Linked DNA regions of Drosophila melanogaster. The gene in region 1 interacts genetically with each later gene. Each region holds a gene or a part of one and is shown in the gene's direction. Other genes may lie near its edges.

Region 1 (7,026 bases):
GCAGGTAAAATATTCAAATGCATTCCTATCCTTGTTTTTCTCATTGACCTGAGTGATTTTTCGTGTAATACACCTTCCCAATTCTAAGTTTTTTTTTTGATCCGGTACTCCTAAAAATTAAATAAACAAACACACAAACATGTATGTTCATATATATATATATACACATATCGTCATTTTTAAAAAATTCAAGCTTTTTATTAAATTACATCAATCAATTTCCTTGTAAATTACACAGTCTACAAGATCTTAAAAATAATATCTTAAAGATATGTCATATGTATGTAATCAAACACATAAAACCGACGGAAATAATCCTCACCCCTCTGAAAACATTTTCAGGTAGTCAGATATGCACGCATAAGTACGTACATACATACATATGTATAGTGGCCTTGTCTGCGTCCCTTGATCGGTATAATAGAAAAAAGAATTAGAGTGCGCTACCAGGCAGCTGGTAAATTTTCTGCTTCACTAAAATTTTACAATATTTTAGGCTATTGGCAAGGAAAACAATACACTAGGACTGAGATTCCATTGCCGAAGAACATAGACGCTATTATACATACATATAATTACAAGTTTTCAATTTTCATAAGTCAACATTTAATTTTAGGTCTCATGCTAAACTCCACTTATTGATCTATATTGATTGACGATCAATCCTCGGTCTCGAGCTTTTTTAATATGGACTTTGGGCTGTAAAATTTTAATGGGCTTTTGCAAAGACACTAGAATAATCTAGTGTCTTTGGCTTTTGGAGTGAAGTGCATTCGCTCTTGGATACAAGCGCTATTAGATTTTTAAGATTTTATTTATTGAAATTCAAACTTTTGCTTTCGAGCTTGTGAGTGTCGGCTTGGAACGTGAAAACATGCTGATTTAATAAAATTGGACAACGGATGTTTGCTTTACAGGTGGGTGATTTGTTTCGGGTTTTCGATTTCATCGTCTGTAAAATTTTGGGTTTATTCCATTTAGCCTTGCTTTGGGGTTGTTTCTTGTTTCTAAAATATAATTATAGGAACGAGGCATTCGTTTGTATTGAAAAGTCTTTACTTCATATAGAACCAAACATGGTTTAAAGATTGCCGTCAAGGAAAGTATGACTTCCGAAATCCGAAGGGCATCTCCCAAAATTTCGAGAATTAGCTTTTGAAACTTTCGACACGATATTCTAAGGCGATATATCGACCAATAATTAAAGAAAACAGATTTTTCCGCGACGCAGGAAATTGGGCACTACTGGTCTAAGGTTAATATTCTCAACCATTTTGAAATCCCCTTGAACGCACAAAAAAGATTGAATTCAAATCAGTTATGCTCTAATGTCTAAGTTCGCAGCAAAGAATTATATACGTAGATAAGCACGTACATATCAATGAAGATACCTATATTCTTGAACAGAACAAAATTATATTTTCATCACAAAAGATGATTTCAGAGCAGTAAAGGTGTCATCGTTACTAGTTTTTTTACATCGTTGAGGCGGGCTTTGATTTGAAATCAGTAGATTTTTTTAAGGAAAAAAATCAACGGATCTATTTACTAAATTCATAATTTGTGGTATTTAAAAAATAACATTTAGAAAAATAGACTTGGAAATGCCTTTTTTTTATTCTGAATAAAATTCTTTGGTCCCCAAATTACTTACTAATGTATAAAAAGTATAACGTAAATATCTCTTACTCATGTTTGTATACTATGTTTAGTGGACATCAATAAATGCAACAGAACTCTACTATGAAAAATTAACCAATTTTTTTCTGAAGCGTTATTTACATTCTGTAAGGCATTTAATCAGTGTGGCTTGCATTATGAGTAAGTGAGTGGCAAAAGCAAAAAAAATGTTCAACCCAAAATTCGATAAAAATATAAATTGCCATACATAAGCATTTTTAAAGCCGCGAAACCGGCCACGTCCACACTTTTGAACAATTTTTAAATTTTGTCGAATTTTTTCCTAATAAATTTCTCCGTTCTGAAGTTATTAATTTTGGCCAGAAAAAGTGGTTAGGTTTCCCATAGTGCAGTCCACCCCGACACACTCACACAGGCGCTGTCAAATAGCAGCTGCACTCATTTTAAGGTCAGCTGCATTCATGACGTTTTCTTCATCGGTCAGTGGTTGCCTATTGGCGGGAGACCTTAATGAGATTTAATTAACTTTATGCTCTTCCGGTAATATTCTGAATACGCTATTGTGCAAAGGGACTCTTATCAGGATAGCCCAGCTGTACCGTTATCAGTGCATTGCTTCGATCGCATGCGCAAAAACGAGCTTTCAGCCGAAAAAGCTTGCTCTCGTTCGACCTCTGAGCGTTTAAACATGAAATAACGGAGGTCCTTGCTGGTGAGGCTGAAATCGACAATCAGTCAAGTTTATCGGGGCGGCTTAGTTTAGTCGAAGGATATTGCTCGGTGTCTTGCGTGCAAACTTGCTAGCAGAAAAAATTTAACACATCGAAAAAGCAAATAACCAGCATAGCAAACGTATGTTAAGGAAGTAATCAAGGCGGACGGTTATCAATAACTTCCAAATATCTTGGACTTATATGCTGGAGCTGTTAGTTACTGGGATACAAATTTAAAGCAAACGAGGGTTTGTTGCAATAGGCAGAGGGTACACACGCTCGCGAGCTGTTATACAAATGAAATCAAATAGAGCATTTAAACAAGCCTTGAGAAACTGAGCCTAACTCACACAAAGAGGAGAAACACATGTACGCGCATACCTAGACAAGAAAGTGATTTTCCACAAGAAAAGGGACGAGAGGTGTGTGTTACTTAGTTTGTCAGTCGAATATTTCTCAATGGGGAAATGAAGAGGTAGTCATATGAAGAGAAAGAGGCAGCGGTGGGGTAGAGAGCAGCGAGAGAGCGGACGAAATTTTCTGATTACAGTTACCGTGGTCTACTATGGTGTCGAATGCTGCAAAAAAGGATCACGAGTTTTAACAGAACAATTTCAATATGATAACCAACTTATCTGTAGTGGTTAGGCAACATTTGATATTTATAATGTTTTTGTTTTTTATGTTGTCATTGAACAGTTCCATTACGGCAATAAATGTGCGGTACAGCCATATGCAGGTAAGCACACACTTTCGTGCTCTAACAGTTGTACATATGAGAATATTCACCGCTCTCTCTCTCTCAAGGACGCTTCCGCAGTGCATTTAATTTGAGTGGACGGAGGATGCACCGATAAGTGTCAAGATTACTTGCTTATACTTTGTCCCTGTATTTCGATTTTGCCTTGCAGTGCTTCGATTCAGACAAGTGAACTATTTTATGTTCTTGTCACATTACAAACAAATAAACCAAGGACATGGTGTCGCTTTATTACTAAACCACAAATACGAAATAAGCTCTCCGAACAACGAATAACATCCTAGAAGTTAGACAAACGAGATGGAAGCAAATTTGGAGAACGGTCAGAAAACGATCGCCTCGACAAGCAAATCGCATTCGCAGCGTCAAACAACATCTCGACGGCGGCAAAACGACAGCGATGTGGCCGGAGGCGTGGGAATCACCGGTGGGGGAGTCGTCATTTTGCCGCAGCACGTGCTTAACGAACTCTACCACAACTACTCCATCAAACAACGCCGCAGTGGATTGAAGTGGTTTGTCTTTGCGGCCGCGTTGTTTAACATATGGACCATCGGAATTCCCTGGGATCAGTCGGCCCCTACGAGAGGTGAGCTATGAATAGAAATAAATTGTTTAAAGAAATTAGTATCGCGTTAAAGACCTTGTCGGATGGATGTGTACATAACTTATACCTCATATCTGACAATGTATATTTATAAGAATAACTTTTTAAATGATTACAGTCGTGTAATTTCCTGTTGGAATCAATTTATCAATTTATTTTATTCATTTTTATATATGTCCAAAAATAAATTTTCTTCAGCTTCAGTTATAAGCTTGGATGGACAGAGTACTTATTTAGGTATAAAATGAAAAATCGTCAATCTGCCAACATTCACGTACTCTCTTGATTTTAATTTAAATATTGTTTACGCCCAGAATGATACTGCGTACTTTTTTGTTTAATAGAGTCGGTTCGTCTCTCTGTCCGTATGAACATCGAGATCTCGGTAACTATAAGAACCAACAAGTTGGAACTAAGCATAAGTGTTTTTTTTACAATAATTAAAATAAGTTATATCAAATAATTTCATGTTATTCCATATTCTAGTGATCAACTGTTGTATGCTGTTAGCTTACTTGGCATTGACAGCGCTCCTTCATATTGGACGCCGTTCTGATAAACCGGCACTGAGGCGCTTCCACCAAATACTCCTGATTATTGTGCCACGGGCACTGTGGCTATTAAGCATTCTTCATTTTACCGTTTATGTTATTCTGCAGCCTAGTTTTTCTCCAAGGTAAGCTATTACAATTAAAATGATAAATACTGGAGGACTCCACAAAGTGTATTTTGCAATTATACAAAGGGCAAGAAGCAATTCATGTGTGCTTTCAATTTCTTCATCGCTTTCAGGGACCTACTTGGCTGGGCCATCCTTCTAAATTTCTTGGTCTATGTGACGCTGCCATTACAGCTGATTTTTCTTGGTCTGTCGATTGGATGTATCACATATTTCATTTGCCTCAGTCTCCCTGTTGGTTATTCTCACTGGGACTCGCTGCTCTCGAACCAATTAGCGGCTAATGCAGTTTTGATAGCCACGGCAGCGCTGATAGGCCTTTTGTACTACTTTATGGGTGAGGCCAAGCAGAAACGAGCCTTTCTCGAGGCCAAAAAGAGCCTTGAAGTTAAAATGGTCATAGAGGAACAGTCGGCCGAACAGGTTTGCATTCTGTTTTACTGACCGTGGATATGAAATATAAAATTTGCCCCTATTAGGAGCGTCTGCTATTGTCTGTGCTGCCAAAGCATGTGGCTATTAAGATGCGGGAAGATTTGGGATCATCCAGTTCCGAGGCTTTTAAAAAAATTTACATGAGTCGGCACGAGAATGTAAGGTAAGCATTAAATCGATTGACTCTTCAAGCTGTAAAAATAAAAAATTCTTAGTTATTCGTTTTAATATTTCAAATATACATACAAATGTACATAAAACAGAATTTTCTTAACTTGATAAAAAACGCTTAGAACCTGTTCATTGTCGCTAATATAAAACAATACTATATGTCCATTACCACCAAATTTTATTTTAATCAAATATATCACAACGTTTTTATATTCTCGCAAAGCTCATTCATCGAAAGTATTTCACGCTCCTCAATATGAACTTTACATTTCCTAAGCTCTTAATTCTCATTGTGTGTGTTCTCAAATGTGTCAGTATTTTATTTAATCTCTATTTTACTTACACTGCCTCTGCAAATAAATTTCAAAATATTTTTCCTATTTTTTTTTTGTTCAAACAAGCATTCTATATGCGGATATCGTTGGCTTTACCGCCATCTCCTCCACATATAGTGCGCAAGATTTGGTAAAAATGCTTAACGAGCTCTTTGCACGTTTCGACAGACTTGCTGAGGTAAATTTGCAAAATATAAAATTGTTGTCTGTTAATGATTTTGATTATTTTAAAACCTCGTTGTCATTTAATTTTGTATTATGTTCATTATATTTAATGTTTATTTCTAAACCACGTAAAAAGTTTTTCTTCTTAAATTATATTACAAACCACATAACGTGAACTTTTTAACAGTATGCAGTCGCTTACATTTATTAAAAAGAGACAGATTCTTTATATTGACAGAAAGACATGGTCAGATTGACTTATGTAGTAGACTTTATTAAAAGTACTCTATTTTGTTGGAAAAGCTTCCTCCTACCTGTTAAATACTTTTCAAATTATCTATTACATCCTCTACGAGTGTGTACTAGTATATCCACGATTAACGGATATACAAAAAAAGGGGATACACATTTGTATAATTTATTGTAATGAGACACAGAAGGAACTCTGTTCGTTGGCCAAAACACCTTTTTAATAGTCGTTGATCCAAATTAAACAAAAACCTTGGTATATACCATTTCAGAATTCCGATAAAGGGCGATTCAAACGCATGTTGAAAGCATTAATTCTTTAAACAGTTAAATATACAATTAAATGTGATGTTTTTGAACAGTTAAAATTTATGGTGTTATCCTAGTACAAGTTGTAGTCACAAGACTACACTTTTAAGACAGTAATAGATTTATAAATCATTTCTGTATGGTTCAAATGTCAAAATGGTCAAAAATCCACAACGTCAGAAATTAGTGGAAATTAGGTTGTTTTTCTTTGTTTCTCCTTGAATTGCAAATTTTTTTAAATCTTATAAATAACTATAATAAAATCAATTCAGTTAAAACAAGAGAGAATGCTATAGTCGTGATCCTCTACTATCAGATACCCGTTAAAGAAATTAAAAAATTTTAAATAAGAAAGAAAGGTCGTGGCCACAGTGTTTTTGCAAAGACACTAGAATATTATTATTATAATATAATATTATTCTAGTGTATTTGGTTTTTGGTTTACCTATAAAAACTGCCAATACAAATCATAAAACGAGAAAAATCTAAACATTTTTCCAAAGTGCGTACAGTTTTGCGCCGTTTTTGAGCGTTAGAGTGGGTGAGCGTGACGAAAAGTTGTTGGCAAATTGAAAGAAATTTTGTACCTTAATAAAATTATGAAACAATATGTGGGCGTTAGAGTGGACGTCGCAACATGGGTTTCTGGAGTCTGCATACTTAATCTCAACTTGCAAGCCAAACAATAATTTTTTTATATGTAGTTCCTGAGATCTCGAAGTTCATACGAACGGACAGGGATAGATCGACTCGGCTTTTGATTCTGATCAAGAATATATATTCATACTTTATATGGTCAGAAACACTTCCTTCTGCCTGTTACATACTTTTCAACGAATCTAGTATACCCTTTTATTTTACGAGTAACGGGTATAAAAATAAAGACAGCCAGAACTGCTCTTTGGTTGAATTATATTAAGATGAAAGCTTCAGTAATCAGTCCAGAAACTGTACAAAACTGT
Region 2 (9,542 bases), on another chromosome or scaffold:
GAATGCAAATATTAAAAACCACGCTGCTAGATAAGTAATTCAGATTGGTTGCACTTGCAATTAGAAAATCCTTTGTGCCGCCCTAATTGGCACAAACACAAATGCAAGCCAACATTAATGAGCTGCCGCGACACGGAATATGACCAAAAGATTTAGTTTAAAGTGCACTTTTGATCCGAGTGTAGTATTTATAACTAACAAGTGCCGTTACTTGCCTATTATTAAGTGACCCAATTGTAAAGGTAATAATGTTTTAAAAACATTCGCAGTTCACAATAATTACAATTGGTTTGTGGTTATCACTTAGGCGCGCTCGAAAGTTTATTTCTTTATTCGAAACTAAAACTTAATTAAGCCCAATTTAATTGGGCCTACACACACGCAACGCACTGTACTTGCTATGGCAACTCTATGGCTAAAGAAACCCCGCAGTGAAAAGTCTTTTGGCTTGTCAAATAGCGCGAAAACTTTTCAAATAGCGTCGCTAGCCGCCAAAACCAAGACCAACCAGTTTTTCGTGCACCTCCACCCGCTTGCCACACGCTTTTCCGTCCCCCACCCTCACCACTTTGCCCACTAGCCTTTTGTTAGCGAGCATTGGCCCATTCAATGCATTTCGTCTCTCTGAATGGCGGCTCTTGAGATTCATTTTCTTTCATTTTCCCCATAATTATGGCAAAGAAATATACGGGGAAAAAAACACGCTTCAACGCCTGCAGATGAATTTCCCCGGGCTTTGCGATTTTTCCCGGCCTACCGAAAAAGAAAAACACCAAGTCTTGAAAATTTGAAAAAAAAAAAAACAAAAAACAAAAAACTTCGACTGCACTTGGGCCGATGAAAATGTTAAAACAATCGATCGGCAAAAGGGGCACGCCCATTATTTGGGGCTCAATCAACCCAATTTTCAAGTCGAGCGACGTCAGCTGAAATTACTTTATAATCTTGTTGATTGCTGATTGCACTTATTGCACATTTAAAGCTCCGTCCACTAACGAATTTAAGTTCACATAAATCCTGATTGCCTGTCACTATCCACTATGAGTATCCACCCATCAAGTGGAATTGACAAGCTATTTGGGGCATTGCAATGCGTGTTAAATAATTGAATTGCTGAGTGTTCAATAAGAAAGTTGATTAATTATTCAAACGGCCCAGCATGTTTGGGTTTCCAAATTGTAAACAATCGAGTCCAGAGCTCGTTCAATTATCGGCCTGAAAATGGATTGCTCAAGTCAAAAAAAAAAATATATGCCAAGGGCGTAATAAATATAAAAATGTGCTTATGTAATATGCAAGAACATTTTGATTAACAAGCCTCTTCTCGATTGCCAACTACCAACTACCAATAATATTTGTAAGCTCTACTCTGTACACACTTTACACACAAACAAATTGCAGTTGAACAAACCACTTTCCTCAATGTAATTAAATTTTAGTTACTTTCTGTTTCTGACTGGTGCTAACTTTAAATTGCACAAGTATTTAAAGGGGTCCCTTAATCCCTCAACCCCATAACCCGCACGCTGCAACTGCTGCCAAGTGACCCAAATCAGGGTCTGTTGTCTGCTTGGAGATGCCGAATCGCGGCATCCAGCATCCATCCAGTTGGTTATCCAATCCAATCCAAGCCAAGCCAAGCCAAGCCAAACCAAACCGTTTCCAATCCCTGGCCCCGCCACTGGCTTTTCAGTCGCTTTGGAGGGGATTTTGCGCTTAGTTAGCTTAATTACGAGCGCGAGCTGAGAATCGGTTCGCTGCGGCGATAAGCATCGATTGGTAAATAAGCAGCGAATTCAAGGCTCCCGAAAGGCTTAATATCTTAATTACTTAATTATATATTTTAAATATATATATATATATACATATACCGTATATATCGTTGATTTTTTGCGCTGTGGGAGTGCTTAGTCGCAAAGTTTTTGCTAATGCTGCACTTCGTCTGACGCTGGCGCTTATGCAACCAAAATACATATTGAGCAGTACAAAGCCAGTGGAATGCCCCCAGGGATGCGGAAATGCGGAAATGCAGAGATGGATAGCTGAGGGGGGGGAGGGAGGTGGGTGAGCGTGTGGGTGGAGCATAGCCTGCATGCATGCATTCGTGTGCAGCGACTACTGGCGAAATTGAAATTCTTATGAAATTATATAAAATGCACTCAAAGGCATTTTTGGGGCAGCTTAGCAACACAAGCAACACAAGCAACACAAGCAACATGGGCAACATGAGCAAAATGTGCAACTTTGGCCACTTTGGACGACCGTCCTCCGCATGGCTTGTTTACGCAATTCCGGAAGTGAAAAAACCAAAAAAAGAAAAAGAAATAAAAGTTGAGGCAAAAAAAAGCGAATGGCAACGTGTTTCCTGTGCCATTCCGCCGCCATTTGCTGCTGCTGCTGCTGCTGCTGCAACGCAACCAAGACAGGAAGAAATCATAATTTGTCGTGTGCGATTGTCATTGAAGTAATTTACATTCCGTTTAGCCTTGGCCATAAATTGCGCAGAGGAAAATATGTGATGCCGTCATTAAAATATGAAATCTTGTTTTTCACAAAACGTGCCACTAAATGATAAACAAGCTGTTGTTTTTCATTGGGAATTACTCCATCTCATTTGTGCAATGATAAAAGCATTACATTTTCGAGTCTGCACGATCGTATCATCAGTTGTTTGCAGGACCTTGAGTTCTTCATACAAAGTTTTAGCTGCTCATTTTTAATCTGTTCCTTGTGCAGAGATTACACTTCTCCGAAAAGAGCCGACACGTAAATTGGAAAAGGGTTAGTGCAACTGTTGTTGCAATTACAATTCATCACATAGCCCGTAGTTCCTCTTCCTGCTGCACAGAAAGAAATTGGTATGTGGCGATCGTTGCAATGCCATGCAATTCAATGCCCAATTCAAAAATATTTGAAATGTGTAAACAACTCACTTGTTTTCTTTTCTGCGTGCATGTGGTGCTCCTGGCCATTTGCCATTTCGCCAGGCATAATCCCGACAATCGGTGCGATGTGGGTGATACGAGTGCGAATGCGAATGCGAATGCCAATGATATGTGTATTGTATGTATGTGCATACATATGGCGTCGTAGCGTGTGGGCGTGATGTTTGCACTCCGGTGCAGCGGGACTATAAATAAGCCGGGTATTTATTAGGGGCAATCATAAACTGCGTTAACGACGGGCACTCTGCCAACGAGAATAAGATCCGGTAAACAAAGGCACCGGTCGACGTACGTCTCATTGTGCGATAAGCTTTCAATTAAATCTGACCCGGATAACGGGGCGCATGGGTGCGGGAAATCGGAAATCGGAAACGAAAACGAAAACGGAAGCGGAAATCGAAATCGAAATGGAAAGAGATCAATTTTCAATTGCAGCCAATGCATGCATGTCCATGGGTCCAATGCTAATATCGAAAGACAAAGCTCCGTGTTCTGGAGGTCGTGTTCGCCATGCAGACTCATTGGTTGGTTGGGTTTAACTCGTACAAAGTTTGATGGGTTTGGGATTGTTTTTTTTTTTTTTTTAGAACGATATAACTCGATATAATGCTGGTGCGTAAATAACAACGATGTTCATTGTTCGCTTTGCAGCACATTTACTATGCGGTCGATGGCAAAATGACCCTCCTGTCGAACATTCTCGACTGCGGAGGCTGTATTTCCGCCCAGCGCTTCACCCGCCTGCTGCGCCAGTCCGGCTCATCAGGACCATCCCCATCTGCACCGACGGCCGGAACATTTGAATCAAAATCCATGCTGGAGCCAACATCCTCGCACAGCCTGGCGACCGGACGCGTGCCACTACTGCACGATTTCGATGCCTCGACAACGGAATCGCCGGGAACGTATGTCCTCGACGGTGTCGCCAGGGTGGCCCAATTGGCCCTGGAGCCCACCGTCATGGACGCACTGCCCGATTCGGACACGGAACAGGTTCTCGGTAATCTCAACAGCAGCGCGCCCTGGAATCTAACGCTTGCGTCGGCAGCGGCCACCAATTTCGAGAACTGCTCGGCGCTTTTTGTCAATTACACCCTACCACAAACAGGTACCTAAAGCCTAATAACTTTTAAATCATATTGCAGTATTTTTTTTTTTTTTTTTGTTGCCGGGATAGGACTCTACTGCAATTGGACCTGGGACACATTGCTCTGCTGGCCACCCACTCCGGCTGGAGTCCTTGCACGGATGAATTGTCCTGGCGGCTTTCATGGCGTAGATACGCGCAGTAAGTAACTGAAATACACTCTAAAAAAAAAGCAGCCGAAAAAGAACATGCTGAGTACAATTAGCATAATTAATCGTTGAAGCTGTTTAGCTGTTTAGCAGCCACAAGAAGCTTTATGACTTCTGCCGGCTTATTAGGAGTCAAAAGACATGTCCTACGGTGTTTATCCCATCCACACGGCATATCTGGCGGTCACAATCATACGGATCATTAGCTGGGAAACGGTTCAAGTGGTGCACGGCAAACAATTACTTGATTCCGTATTCATCGAAAGGATGTCAATATTTACATGCATGACTGGGGGCGTCCAATCAACCGCACTCCCAGTCGGGGCCGCCCCTCCTTGGCTTCCATCGCCGGGGGCTGTCCAGGTGTTTCATGTGCACCCTCGAGCTCCGCCAGTTGAACAGGGTTTAAAACACCAGCCAATCGATTGCTTAATTACGATCCTAAATGCTTGCTCTACCCCTCCGATAAATTAAACGTTCTGCAATGGGGAATTGCTATTTAATAACCATGGGCGATATACACTGAGCGAAAAGATTCTAAGTAGCTGACTTACCACCCAATATTTTACAAACTTAAAATGCTCTTCCATTATCACTAGTGAATGTATTATCTGCGCTTGTGGTGCAAAATCTAGGCATATCGAACTATATCTGTTAAGAAATAATTATTCGAGTGCATTGTTGAGCTACGGCCTCATTTCTCCGGGCCGTGTCTAGATTTTTAGCCCCAATATTTTCAACTGGACGAGGTCGGTCGCCCATTCGATTGGCATAATTGCACTTGTCAGTCAGTGTGTCAAAGCTCGATTACTGTCATTAATCCAACCCAACCTCCCTCTTTTTCGGTTCGCAGAATTCGCCATCCGAAAGTGTGAGCTGGATGGTCGATGGGGCAGCAGGCCAAATGCCACGGAGGTGAATCCGCCGGGATGGACGGACTACGGGCCGTGTTACAAGCCGGAGATTATCCGTCTCATGCAGCAGATGGGCAGCAAGGACTTCGATGTGAGTTGAATTCTTTCCACACTACATCATAATACCTGTTTCAGTTATAGTTAAGAGCATTGCTTAAATGCCAACCAAAATCCCAAATCAAGGGTATGGTTTTGAAATTACCTAATAGGGTTCCAAGTTTTTTAGACACCCTAAAAAGTGATTTCAAAGGCCTGATTACATTTGTTGATAGTGGTTTATAGTAGTAGTTTTAATTCCATTTCTTCCAACTGGTTTGCGATATCCCTTAGGCCTACATAGACATTGCCAGGAGGACTCGAACCCTGGAGATCGTGGGCCTCTGCCTCTCCCTGTTCGCCCTTATAGTTTCCCTGCTGATCTTCTGCACATTTCGCTCGCTGCGAAACAATCGCACCAAGATCCACAAGAATCTTTTCGTCGCCATGGTGCTGCAGGTGATCATTCGCCTGACCTTGTATCTCGACCAATTCCGGCGGGGAAACAAGGAGGCGGCCACCAACACGAGTCTCTCTGTCATTGAGAACACGGTAGGCTTAATATTCCCGCATAAGGATAAGGTATAAGGCTTATGTTCGATATTATATGTTATGTTCTACAGCCCTATTTGTGCGAAGCATCCTATGTACTTCTGGAGTACGCTCGTACCGCCATGTTCATGTGGATGTTCATCGAGGGCCTTTACCTGCACAACATGGTCACCGTGGCCGTTTTCCAGGGCAGCTTTCCCCTCAAGTTCTTCTCGCGACTCGGCTGGTGTGTGCCCATTCTGATGACCACCGTGTGGGCGAGATGCACGGTCATGTATATGGACACCTCGCTGGGCGAATGCTTGTGGAACTATAATCTCACGCCCTACTACTGGATCCTCGAGGGGCCACGACTAGCGGTCATACTGGTGGGTAATATCAACTGTTGATCGCTTTAATCACCTATTCACCCAACTGAAAACATCCGCATGCAGCTAAACTTCTGTTTCCTGGTGAACATTATCCGAGTGCTGGTAATGAAGCTGCGTCAATCGCAGGCCAGCGATATAGAACAGACTCGCAAGGCAGTTAGAGCGGCTATAGTCCTACTACCACTTTTGGGTATAACCAATCTCCTGCACCAGCTGGCTCCTCTGAAAACGGCCACGAACTTCGCGGTCTGGTCGTATGGCACCCACTTTCTCACCTCGTTTCAGGGATTTTTTATAGCGCTAATTTACTGCTTTCTAAATGGCGAGGTAAGACATCAAGTCACTCAGTTGTCCATTTGCCTAAAACCCTCACTATTTCCAACCAAAATATATATTTTTTAGGTTCGTGCCGTGCTACTAAAGAGTCTGGCCACCCAGCTGTCGGTGCGAGGTCATCCGGAATGGGCGCCGAAAAGGGCATCTATGTACTCGGGTGCTTATAACACGGCGCCGGATACGGATGCAGTGCAGCCTGCAGGAGATCCATCGGCCACTGGAAAGCGGTAAGCATCCGCTTTGTGCACACCCCACCTTGAAACTCCTTACATCAATTTAAAACTCCCAGAATATCACCGCCGAATAAAAGGCTGAATGGAAGAAAGCCGAGCAGTGCCAGCATTGTGATGATTCACGAGCCTCAACAGCGCCAGCGACTGATGCCCCGGCTGCAAAACAAGGCGCGGGAAAAGGGCAAGGACCGGGTGGAGAAGACGGATGCGGAAGCGGAGCCGGATCCGACCATCTCCCACATTCACAGCAAGGAGGCGGGCAGCGCGAGATCGCGAACTCGCGGCTCCAAGTGGATAATGGGCATCTGCTTCCGGGGTCAAAAGGTACTAAGAGTACCGTCAGCGTCATCCGTGCCACCCGAGTCAGTTGTATTTGAGTTGTCAGAGCAGTAGACCAAAACCTAGCCTAACTAATAGATGTAGCCATAGCCGTAGCCAAATAGCCGTAGAAGTAGCCAACGCCATGTAGCCCACCACCACAGTAGCCAGCACCCACACAATCGGACCGGAAATGATCCCAAAGATAACCCAGAACCCGACTATTCCTGCATCTCCCATCGACCCACCAAGCAAGCCAGCTGGAAACAGCACATATGTAAAATACCCCAACAAAATATCGCAGTTCTTATACCCAAGATCATTTTGAACAGAAAGTAAGCTCATTGTTTTGTAATTCAAATTAAACCAATAGACATTTAATTTAAATAGTTATTTTCGCTTGCCTTCGGTTCTTGCTCCACTGTACTTATGTAAATACATACATACCTTTATTTGTGTAAGCCATATCCAAACCCTTTCCAAAATCTAGAAATCTCCTATCCTTTCGAAATCGGCTAATCCTACGAAAATTCAAATTTCCCTACAAGTTTTACAAAATATTTTTGATGACAATAAATTTCCAATAGCGTCACCTTCTGTTCTGGACACGCAAATACATTCAAAAACACTCGCACACGGTTCTTACTCGATGAATTTTTCAGCAAAACTTCAGCGGCATGTTCTTTTACTTCTACTATTCATATTTAAATATTAGATTGAAATATTTAAGTGAATTAACACAAACTTGCGGTAACTGCGCAGTGTGGCCAGGCTTTGTGAGCCATTAGAACTTATTACATAACATAATTGAAAAGTGACATTGTTTAAAGGAACTCACCTTTAATCAACTGTTGAACTTGCTGTTCATCGGATTCCGTTATTAAGTTTTAAGATTTGGGTTTACTTGTATTTACATTTTCTTTACCACTTTGATTAGCTTACACTTTCCGTTCCTGAGCTGGTCACACTGCCAGCTACAATCGATCACGTTCACTGCAACTGCCTTGAATTTTGCTAGCTGCGCTTTGTTGTGCAACAAAAACTTTGCCACAATCGATATTTAACTAATGGGGTCCATAATCGGAGACACATAAATGCAATAAATATCTTTTCGGCTATTCTCTCCTCCTTGTTTCCCACTCAAAATGCGGCTCTCTTGGCGGACTCTTCTCGTTTTCGTTTTCTTTTTCTTCTTTCTCGCCTTTCGTTCGCAGGACAAATGTGTGATGCCGGGCTCGCAAAAGACGCAGCAAATATTCATGACGTCGCAAATGCCGCCGACGTCGACGCTTGCAGCGGTAGCAACAACAATTACCACAACATCAACAACAACAACGGCAGCCAAAACAACAATAGCATCCATTGCAACCATCGCGACGATGACAAAGTCAAAGGCGAAAGCCAAAGCGATTTCAAAGAGCCATCAAATACAAATGCCGAAAGCCTAGTGCATCTCGCTCTCTTTACCGCTCACACCAGCAACACTCAGAACAACACACACCGAAACACAATATTCACGCCCATCCGCAGGCGCAACTGTTCTTAAACTAAAACTAAAATGCCGCGAAGTATGCTCTCTTTGCAAGAAGCGAGTTCGATAAGTCGGATATCGATCGATACACGACACACACACACGCATACATACATATATCCTATATTTTTGTATATTTACCAACAGCAGTTGGGCCACAGTTTTTTTTGCACATGTGTAAGAAGTGCGCTGATGAATGTAACTGTTAATCTTTTTTTTTCTAAATAAGCTCAATATACATACATAGATGTAACGGTATTTACAAGAGCATAGATAAAGCATACATATTTACATACCTGTTATTTACACGGATGCAAGCAGCAGAAAAATGTCGGAGAGTAGTTCGTACATATAATACGAGTATATACATATGTACATAGATATGTATGTATACCACATATAACGAGAGTACAAAGCACATGGAATGGTAACGAGGAACAAACAGAAACAAACGGATTGAAGGAATCACGATGTCACATCATCTGATCTGCGATCAGTGCGAATGTCGAATATTCATCACCCTAGCTTTAAGCTTACAATGCATTTTAAATGGAATATCTTGTGTGTGGAATCGTGTTTGTTTTCATTTAGTTTTGGTTTCCTACTCGCTTCACGCTATTTCGAAACTAAGAATTCAAGCCGAATTTAAAAAGAGAGGAACCTAAGAACCAGAACCCCAGTGGTCGTCAATGTCAAACTATTACGTGTATAAGGCTAGATGGAAAATGAATAAACATGATTTTATATGCATACATCTAAACTGCACTCGGCTATCGTCTACGTTCTTCATCTGGATTTGGGATCGGACTCGGGCTCGGGATCCATTAGGTTTGCCTAATTTTTTTTTTTTGGATAGGCACGTGCCGCTCGTGAATCCCCCAATTGGCATGGCTAAATTGGCAATTTCATCCCATAAGCAGCTTAATCCGATGATTTGATGGATCATCAAATGAATATTTGATGAATGAATGAATACCGTATGACCCGTATGAATAATACGGGTCAGATAG

What was found. A genetic interaction does not mean that the proteins touch.
Region 2: of Ac3 (region 1) and Pdfr, changing one suppresses a phenotype caused by changing the other (phenotypic suppression), as found in Drosophila melanogaster (one study listed by BioGRID).

Annotation. Positions count from the first base shown.
Region 1 is NT_033779.5:21,630,213-21,637,238, forward strand, and holds the start of Ac3 (adenylate cyclase 3), read left to right. Parts: upstream 1-2,374; 5' UTR 2,375-2,493; intron 2,494-3,053; 5' UTR 3,054-3,093; intron 3,094-3,161; 5' UTR 3,162-3,414; coding exon 3,415-3,703; intron 3,704-4,207; coding exon 4,208-4,397; intron 4,398-4,513; coding exon 4,514-4,823; intron 4,824-4,879; coding exon 4,880-4,998; intron 4,999-5,407; coding exon 5,408-5,519; intron 5,520-7,026.
Region 2 is NC_004354.4:2,569,378-2,578,919, forward strand, and holds Pdfr (Pigment-dispersing factor receptor), read left to right. Parts: upstream 1-2,828; 5' UTR 2,829-3,289; coding exon 3,290-3,469; intron 3,470-3,596; coding exon 3,597-4,053; intron 4,054-4,122; coding exon 4,123-4,233; intron 4,234-5,094; coding exon 5,095-5,246; intron 5,247-5,485; coding exon 5,486-5,743; intron 5,744-5,814; coding exon 5,815-6,111; intron 6,112-6,177; coding exon 6,178-6,441; intron 6,442-6,516; coding exon 6,517-6,677; intron 6,678-6,739; coding exon 6,740-7,076; 3' UTR 7,077-7,628; downstream 7,629-9,542. UniProt on the Drosophila melanogaster protein: Receptor for PDF, a neuropeptide controlling circadian behavioral rhythms. Probably regulates circadian behavioral rhythms through coordination of activities of clock neurons. PDF-binding results in the elevation of cAMP synthesis.